Daphnia pulex: one gene and its partner. The protein of the gene in region 2 purifies or fractionates together with the protein of the main gene of each other region. This does not show direct contact. Links are inferred from orthologs where the notes say so. Each region holds a gene or a part of one and is shown on either strand. Other genes may lie near its edges. The genes, in order: Golgi apparatus protein 1-like and oxysterol-binding protein-related protein 8-like.

The links.
Region 1: the proteins of oxysterol-binding protein-related protein 8-like (region 2) and Golgi apparatus protein 1-like purify together in Homo sapiens (co-immunoprecipitation; 3 studies listed by BioGRID and IntAct, with this or other methods). This does not show direct contact. The link is inferred for Daphnia pulex from reciprocal best matches to the Homo sapiens genes OSBPL8 and GLG1.

The regions. Positions count from the first base shown.
Region 1 is NC_060026.1:12,905,988-12,909,043, forward strand, and holds part of Golgi apparatus protein 1-like, read right to left. Parts: intron 3,030-3,056; coding exon 2,824-3,029; intron 2,754-2,823; coding exon 2,330-2,753; intron 2,266-2,329; coding exon 2,125-2,265; intron 2,060-2,124; coding exon 1,877-2,059; intron 1,808-1,876; coding exon 1,579-1,807; intron 1,518-1,578; coding exon 1,411-1,517; intron 1,339-1,410; coding exon 1,296-1,338; intron 728-1,295; exon of another isoform or gene 656-727; intron 456-655; exon of another isoform or gene 384-455; intron 1-383. UniProt on the Homo sapiens protein: Binds fibroblast growth factor and E-selectin (cell-adhesion lectin on endothelial cells mediating the binding of neutrophils).
Region 2 is NC_060024.1:3,680,356-3,684,978, forward strand, and holds the end of oxysterol-binding protein-related protein 8-like, read right to left. Parts: coding exon 4,589-4,623; intron 4,516-4,588; coding exon 4,430-4,515; intron 4,357-4,429; coding exon 4,218-4,356; intron 4,134-4,217; coding exon 3,867-4,133; intron 3,440-3,866; coding exon 3,210-3,439; intron 3,128-3,209; coding exon 2,949-3,127; intron 2,890-2,948; coding exon 2,615-2,889; intron 2,543-2,614; coding exon 2,346-2,542; intron 2,274-2,345; coding exon 2,004-2,273; intron 1,933-2,003; coding exon 1,448-1,932; intron 1,386-1,447; coding exon 1,169-1,385; 3' UTR 275-1,168; downstream 1-274. UniProt on the Homo sapiens protein: Lipid transporter involved in lipid countertransport between the endoplasmic reticulum and the plasma membrane: specifically exchanges phosphatidylserine with phosphatidylinositol 4-phosphate (PI4P), delivering phosphatidylserine to the plasma membrane in exchange for PI4P, which is degraded by the SAC1/SACM1L phosphatase in the endoplasmic reticulum.

The DNA of each region.
Region 1 (3,056 bases), on a different chromosome or scaffold from region 2:
CCAAACCTGCATTGACATAAAATATAGGTGTTGTGATGAAATATGGCTCATTTTTTGTGGTAGAAAATTGCCTTAAGCTTCCATCATAAACTTTAGTTCTTTTTTCGTTAAATTTTGAATGAATAAACAAATTATAAGAAAATGAAAAACGTGTTCGAAGAAATCTCATTTTGCCGCTGTCTAAGCAGACGACTGAAGTCACCATAATAGTTATTTAGTTAATCAGAGCCATCTACTGATTGGAATAATAACATAACGCGGAAAATTTGATAAAACATGTTAAAATAATAAATAATCATTTGAAACACACATTTATTAATTGTCGATTGATTTTCTAAATAATTAAAAAACATTTCATCAGCAAAAAGGGACGAAAAAGCGGTTTCCCATACCGGGAATCGAACCCGAGCCTCTTGGGTGAAAGCCAAGTATCCTAGCCACTAGACCATATGGGATATATACAATTGTCAAAATAATGTTATATAATGTACAAGTGAGAAAAAATTTATTTTGTGCACATTTCGACATGCTAATAACGTTAAAATAGCCAAATATGAATGAAATAACATAATTAGGCAATGAACGCATTTAATACATCTTGTTCTTAAATTCACAAAGAAAATTATCAACTTATTGTGCTGGAAATAAAAAAGGTTTCCCATACCGGGAATTGAACCCGGGCCTCCCGGGTGAGAGCCGGGTATCCTAACCACTAGACAATATGGGATGTGAATAAACACGCTAGTTCTTAAATCCAGTGGCTAGAAATTTGTCTAAACTAATCAACAAAAGGCTAAAAATCTATCAGCGTCAAAACATTAACTAATCTTTTCCATTTTTTTATTTTCAAAATCTTATTGGACAAAGAAGGAGGAAAGCAAAAAAAAAAAAATTGTGCGTCTGTTTTTTTATTGCCCAATAAAATCAATGGGGTTGTAATTTAATTTGTCTGATTGAATTATTGAAAGTAGGCGAGTTCGTCAATTTAATTTGGATATACAGCGTAAACACTGATTGAAGGATTGAATTGATTTTCATCGTCTCTTTTTTTTTAGTATGAATTATTATTTCAAGGCACTCGCCCAAGTGTCCCTTCGCTTCTAGATATTTTCATTCTCTATTCTATCACGTATCACACAATTAACCACATCCAAGTTTCTGTTACAGTGCAAACTATCTGTTCTTCATAACTTGATGTCTCTTTGAAATACGACCGCAAAAGACCCCCAGCAAAAGAATTAATCCAACAAATGAGAGCCCCACCGCTAGGAAAACGTGTTTGGCGGGCGAATTACTCAGTTGTTCGACTAAATCGTTGACTGACTCCAGATGCATGACCTGTGAAATGTATAAATGTGTGTCAATTGATTTATGTCACGGATTAATTACTCGGTATGGTATAAGGCATACTTGTGAAGCCTTGGCGAATAATTGCGTCCTCGTAGTAAGCATATCAAAACATTTCGGATCAAATTTCGCTTGCCCTTGCTCTTTAAACCGCAAGAGACATTTCAATCCTATTTACAAGTCACATAATTTAACAACTTTTGCACTACAGATTTACAAAATTGGACATACTTCGACCCTCTCCAGGTGGAACATCTTTGCAAAATGTGACTAAATCGATAGCACAAGCTCGGTGTAGCAACGGATCGGCTTGAATGTCAATCTGGACAGCCGTTATAAGCAGAGCGATGTGGCGTCGACATTCGACATTAGTCAACGTGTCAAATTTTCTTTTCAAGCATTCTTCCACTTGACCTTGTCGGTTGTTTTCAAGCTCTTCAGGTCCACAGTGCACTTCAATCTTATTACAGCAGAAGCAAGTGTTGATGAAGATGATTTTCCCTTAACATGGTAGATGGACACAACATACCTCTTTATCGCAGACACTCACAAGAACAGGATCAAGCTGATAATGTAGAGCTTGTTGTTCCATTATGACCGTTAAATGGTCGGCACAGGACTGGGTCAGCGGCTTTTTAGAAACGAAGTTCTGTTTCAGGCAATCGACAACTTTCCCTTCAAGTTCGCGATCCTTAGGTGCACTCTGCCAAACCTATTCAAATTAACAGTATTATAGAAACAGGATCGATAGTATTACACACAAGAGTAATAAAATACCGCAAGACAAAATTTCGGTATGTCCATGGTGCATGCTTTCTTCAGAGCAGGATTGAAACGAATATCAAGATTCTGTTCAGCCATCCGTTCCAAAATCAATTCTTTGCAATGAAGTTCTAGAGTGGTGTCGTCCAGATGGCTCTAAGAAAGCAAATTAAAATGGTAGATACCCTTTAAAAAAATGTGAGGGAAAGGTCAAAACTACTTTTAAACATTCCAGAGCGCTGCTAGCATCGTTCTGGCATAATCGACGAATTGGTTCTTTGCATTGTTGAATGAGTTGGAAATCAACACCGCTGTCATCCATTTCTTCTTTTTCGACCTGGAAGATGGCTGCATGGCAAATATCATCCAGTTGTTTACGGTGGGTTTTGAGGCATTCCAAAATTCGGCCTTGTCCTGGTTTGATTTGGGCACAAAATCGCTTTTCATCGGATGCGCAAGGCTTGCGGACGTTAGGATTGAACTGGACATCTTCATGCTGTTGGAGCAGCTGGTTCCTAAGCTGTTGGCGGCAAGGTTGAGACACACGATGCTGGGATCCGACATGGTTTCCCAAGCGTGAAACTAAGCTCTGTGCCACCGAGTCGTTTCGAACCATCTCGCTCAGACAAGCTACTACCTTTGGTCTAGATAATTAGAAATGAATGAACACATGAAATAATTGGCAACAAAATCTTAAAATTGGTAATGACTTACTTTTCTTTAATGTTGGGACACAGACGAGAAATATCTTGTTTGCAAGCTCGTTTAAATGGGGCGCTGAAACGGAAGTCCTGTAATGCAATCAATTGGAAATGCTCGACAGCAGCTCGGCATTTGGAGTTCATGGTTGTTTCAGTGTTCATTTTATATTCAACAAGACATTCCATCACTTGACCTTCATCGCCATCATCCATTTCTTCCTAAAAATAATAATAAGAAAGCAAAAT
Region 2 (4,623 bases):
TATAGCATTAACGATTCTCCATTGAAGAAAAAAAGAAACAAAAAGACCATTGAGACAATACTGGCAAAGCAATTTTATACGGGTCTAGTTAGAGTAAAGATAGAGCCTCCGTGGCGCAATTGGCTAGCGCGTTCGGCTGTTAACCGGAAGGCTGGTGGTTCGAGCCCACCCGGGGGCGGTTCATTTTTCAACTTTTTTTCATAATTATTAAAGTATCAGAATTAACTCGTCAACTACAAGAGTACGAAAAAATAATGGACATTAAATCCGAAAATTTAAGAGGGGGACACGTTGACGTGTATTGAGAAGATATCGCTTTATAATTGAAGAAAAAGGAGACAATTGACGCAGATCTTGCCACACAATTGTGTAACACAGTATATCATTGGGAAATGGACAATTTCGCATTGACGGAGGCGAACGAGTAAAAATCGGCACGATGGATGAGAAGACGAAAGGGAAATAGGAAAAAAGGTTTTATATTTTCGACTTGAAGAGAAAAGATGAGAGGGAGGAAAAATTCGAAGCGAAGTAGAGAGAGAGTGGCAAATAAGCAAAGTCGAAAGATATATAATCAATGGAAGAGGAGGAATGTCAAGACGGCACATCATATTCTCTCTCAAATGTCATGGCACTTGATCTCTTTTCTATATAACTATCCCTTCGGCTGCGAGTCCCTGTTTGGTTGTGTGTTTCCGCCCATTTTTAAAAAAATCCCTGTTGCATCACAAACACACACACACACACAAGTCTCCCATGCCATGAGGTCATACTAAATAAATGTCTCATAAATATCTGGATAAATAGAACATGGAAGGAATGCTTTTGCTCCAGTAGTTCACATCACTATCAAACAAAACAGAAAAATTATTATTAATTGTTTTCTTTCTTTTTTCTTTTTTTAGTGTGGAGGGGTATGTAGAACGCATTTCGGGGTGAGTGGGTGGAGGACAAGGGGGGACCGACTAGCACTCGTTACTTCACCATTACTATTACCTCATATTTTTGTTTGTTTCGTACTAGCAAAGAGACGACTCATTTGTTTTTTTCCCGCTTGCCGGCACAGAGATTTCTTAACATACGGGTGAGGTTATGGCGTTGTTGCAAACACAAAATGTTTCGAAACTTGAAGGTAAAGGGAGGAGTAGGGTTGGTGGGTGGGTGGGGATCATTTCTTCCAGTACAACCAGAGAACCACCTGGCAGAGGACCAGCACTAGAACGACCAGGTAAAGGTCACGCGACGACGAGCCGCGCATCATCTTCTTTGGACCCAACGTCTGGTGCTGTTGCAACACCATCGACTGAATGCTCGTCTGGATCCGGGTCAATCGATCCTGCGTTTCCCGGTGCGACTCTTCCAGGTACTGCAGCACGTGGTTCCAGCTGAATAGAATAAAGAAATTAAATAGAAATTGACTTTTAATTAATTTTGAATTTTTATATACCTGGTTAAACCACTCCGCAATTGACGTTTATCCGCTTTCAAGCGACTGTCTTCTTCCGAGCTATGCAATAGATCGCCTTCGGCGGAGGAACTGATGCTTCCGTCGGCATTCCTCCGCCGGATGACACTCGCCCCGTTGACGTTGGCTTCGCTCAACGGCTTCCGGAATTCGGGCCCATTGGGCGACGACAGGACTAACTGTTGCCGGATCGATTCCGTTTGTCTCTCGACGCTGACTATGCTGGCCTCGCGAATCATGGGAGTTCGGTGCCGAGTTTTGGTGGCGATGACGAAATTACTCTCGTACTGGATAACGTCGTTGCGCTGATCCCAGGGGCGGACGTCGGCGTGACGGTAATGCCACGAATCCGTCACTGGGTCCAGCTCGAAGCAGCGAGGCATCCACGTCTCGTTCTGAGATATGCGCAATTTGGTGGCGTTCCTTTGAGCCTCTTCCAAAATCGTCTTCTCGTTCGTGGCCAATTCCTAATTTAATTGAATAACAATTTCAGCTTAAATTTATAAAAAAGATTCACATTTTTATTCAAATCAAAAACCTGATTTTCTTGACGAATGGCGGCTGCCACTTTGCTCCAGAGTTTGTCCGATTCGTAGCCGAGTTGCTCCTCGCTGGCCACCGTCCAGCGTTTGAGTCTGGTGGCCCTGACTTCGGACGTCGGATTCCACAGCGTTTGCTTCTCTCCCGTTCGCTTGTCTTCGATCGTGATGCAGTCGTCCCAATAGCCTGATATGGTGGCCAAAGTTTCTTTGCCCAGTCGAAGCTTGCCCGTCACGTAGTTCATAAAATCCGCTCCGCCAATCATCGGCTGTAAAAAAGACAATAAAATAATCAGATCGGGCAATCCCAGGGCCAATTAAAAATAAAGTTACAGCTTTACCTTGAGTTTAAACTCCAAATCGGCCCGGTAGCCCGTCTTTTCGCATTTCAGGTAGACTTCGCCGCCCATTTCCATGGTGAGTGTCCCGAGCAAAATCCCCTTACAATGAGCGTAAGGCATGGTGATGACGTAATCTTCACCGCGCGGCAATAAAGTTAGCCGAGCCGATCCATCCAGCAGAGCCGACAATGAATTTCCTGTTGTGAAAATTTTTAATTTAATTTAGGAGACGGGAAATAATTTTAATTTATTTTTGGCACGGGATCTACCGTAAAATTTGGATTTGGCCAGAATGGTGGCCGACAGAGTGAACCCGTCTTTACGGTTGGTGACGTAAAGGGCTGATATGGGAGGGTGATGGGACACTTGTTCGGCTATGTAGAACGTGGTGGAGCCGTTGGGATGCTTCCAACAACAGCGAAAGACCTCGCCCAGAATGGGATTGTAAGGTTTCTTGAGACCTTTTGGCTTTTTGTAGAAACCGGAAAGGTACCACTGAACCACTGTTTTCATCCGCGTGAAAGGATCGTCTTCCAAAACAGCTCTATTCACAAAATAAAACATGAAATAAACGATAAAAAATGGCGGGAGAAAATCTCTCACCTGGACAGGATATCGGCGTGGTAATAATAATCAGACAACTTGTCAAGAAATGAGCGCGGTTCCAGAATAAACGTTGGTAAGACCACTTTGGACAAATCCATTCCGGGGCGCACTTGCTTGACAAGAAACCAAATCAAACTTTTGTTATCATCGGCCAATTCTTCCGTCAACTCTCCAGTCTTTTTTTTTGTTATGCAAATGAATAAAAATTTATTTAAATAATTAAAAGAATATTCAGGAGATGGTCTACAAGGTATATACCGAGCCAAACTCTTCTTCTTGTTGGACAACGTACGGCGTCTCGACTGGGAAATCGTCGAGTGATCTCAATTCGTCTTCTTCCGATTCCGAATCGGAGTGATGGGAATCGCGTCGTATGCGCGGAAGACGAGGCCCAACGGTGGCGAAATCAGCCACATCCAGCCCGGAGCCGGAGCGTCGTTCAGCTTCGGTAATGTCGTTTTCATCCGTATGACTAGTATCGTCGAAATCTGCGGGCACGACAAACAAAAGACAAAAAGGGGAAGGAGAGAAGCTGTAATAATAGAGAGCATCTACACAACAAAGCGTACGAACGTCAAAAGCATACGACCAGAATCATTTTACCACTATTCTGTTTCACCAATTTCCTGGCTGAATGACGCGGAAATCGGTGCAAATAATTCATTTTGCGGAGTTGTGGAGAGTTGTTCACACTCGAGCCGGAGCAAGTGGATCGGGGACTCCTGGGAGTCGATTCGTTCGAGGAAAAGGAGGGCGAGATAATGGAAACCAAAGGCACTACTTTGAGGGTATCGTTAACGCGCTCTAGCTCTATTGTTTTCAACAGCAGGGCAGCAATCAACATTTTTGACAATTTTCATCATGACGGGATCGGTGGACGGACATTTTTAAAAAATAATAATAATTGAATTTTACCCTGGTCTTTGAAATGCTTTTCAAAATCCGAGTCGTTCCAGTGGAGATCGCCGCTCTGAGAGGCTGAAGCACCGGAAATGGGATGGCCAGACGCAAGGTCCGAAACGAGACCTTCGCCAATGTTGGTGCTTCGAGTGCTCATGGAACGGATTAAAAGCGATGAGCACTTCAAGGCTAATTCCAGCGCATCCATCCAACATTTGCCAGCTCCTTGAGAAGACACTCGGAAAATCAGGTGAGAGGTGGGCAGCGGTTGAATTGGAGCAGCTAAAATGGAGAGAGTTAAAATAATAATAATAATGATAAATGATTTCCACAGGATGTTGCAAAATATCAAACAAGTGAGCTTACGAATTGTTTCTCCCAAGGGCCCTTTCGGCGCCCATATCGATTGGTCCAATGGATGATAGAGTTTGAAGCAGAAACCGTCTTTTTTCGAAGGACGCTCAATCAATTTGCACATACTCAAGAGTATTGTGCCAACCCAGTCCTGTTATTGGTATCCAAACAAAAATAATTATGTAATCGGTCCAACACACATGAAATCAAATGTAATATTTTACCTTTGCCTTGTCACTTTTGTAAAGTAAGATGACACCTGGTTTCAGAATGCACCACAGTTTCGTCCAACTCTTGAGCATTCCTCTAACTAAAAACACAGATTTTAAGTTATTCAACGGTTTTTCAACACTTTCACATGAAATCTGGTGTAGTCTTTATACCTTTGAGCCAATCTGCCAAGACAACAACAGCTGGG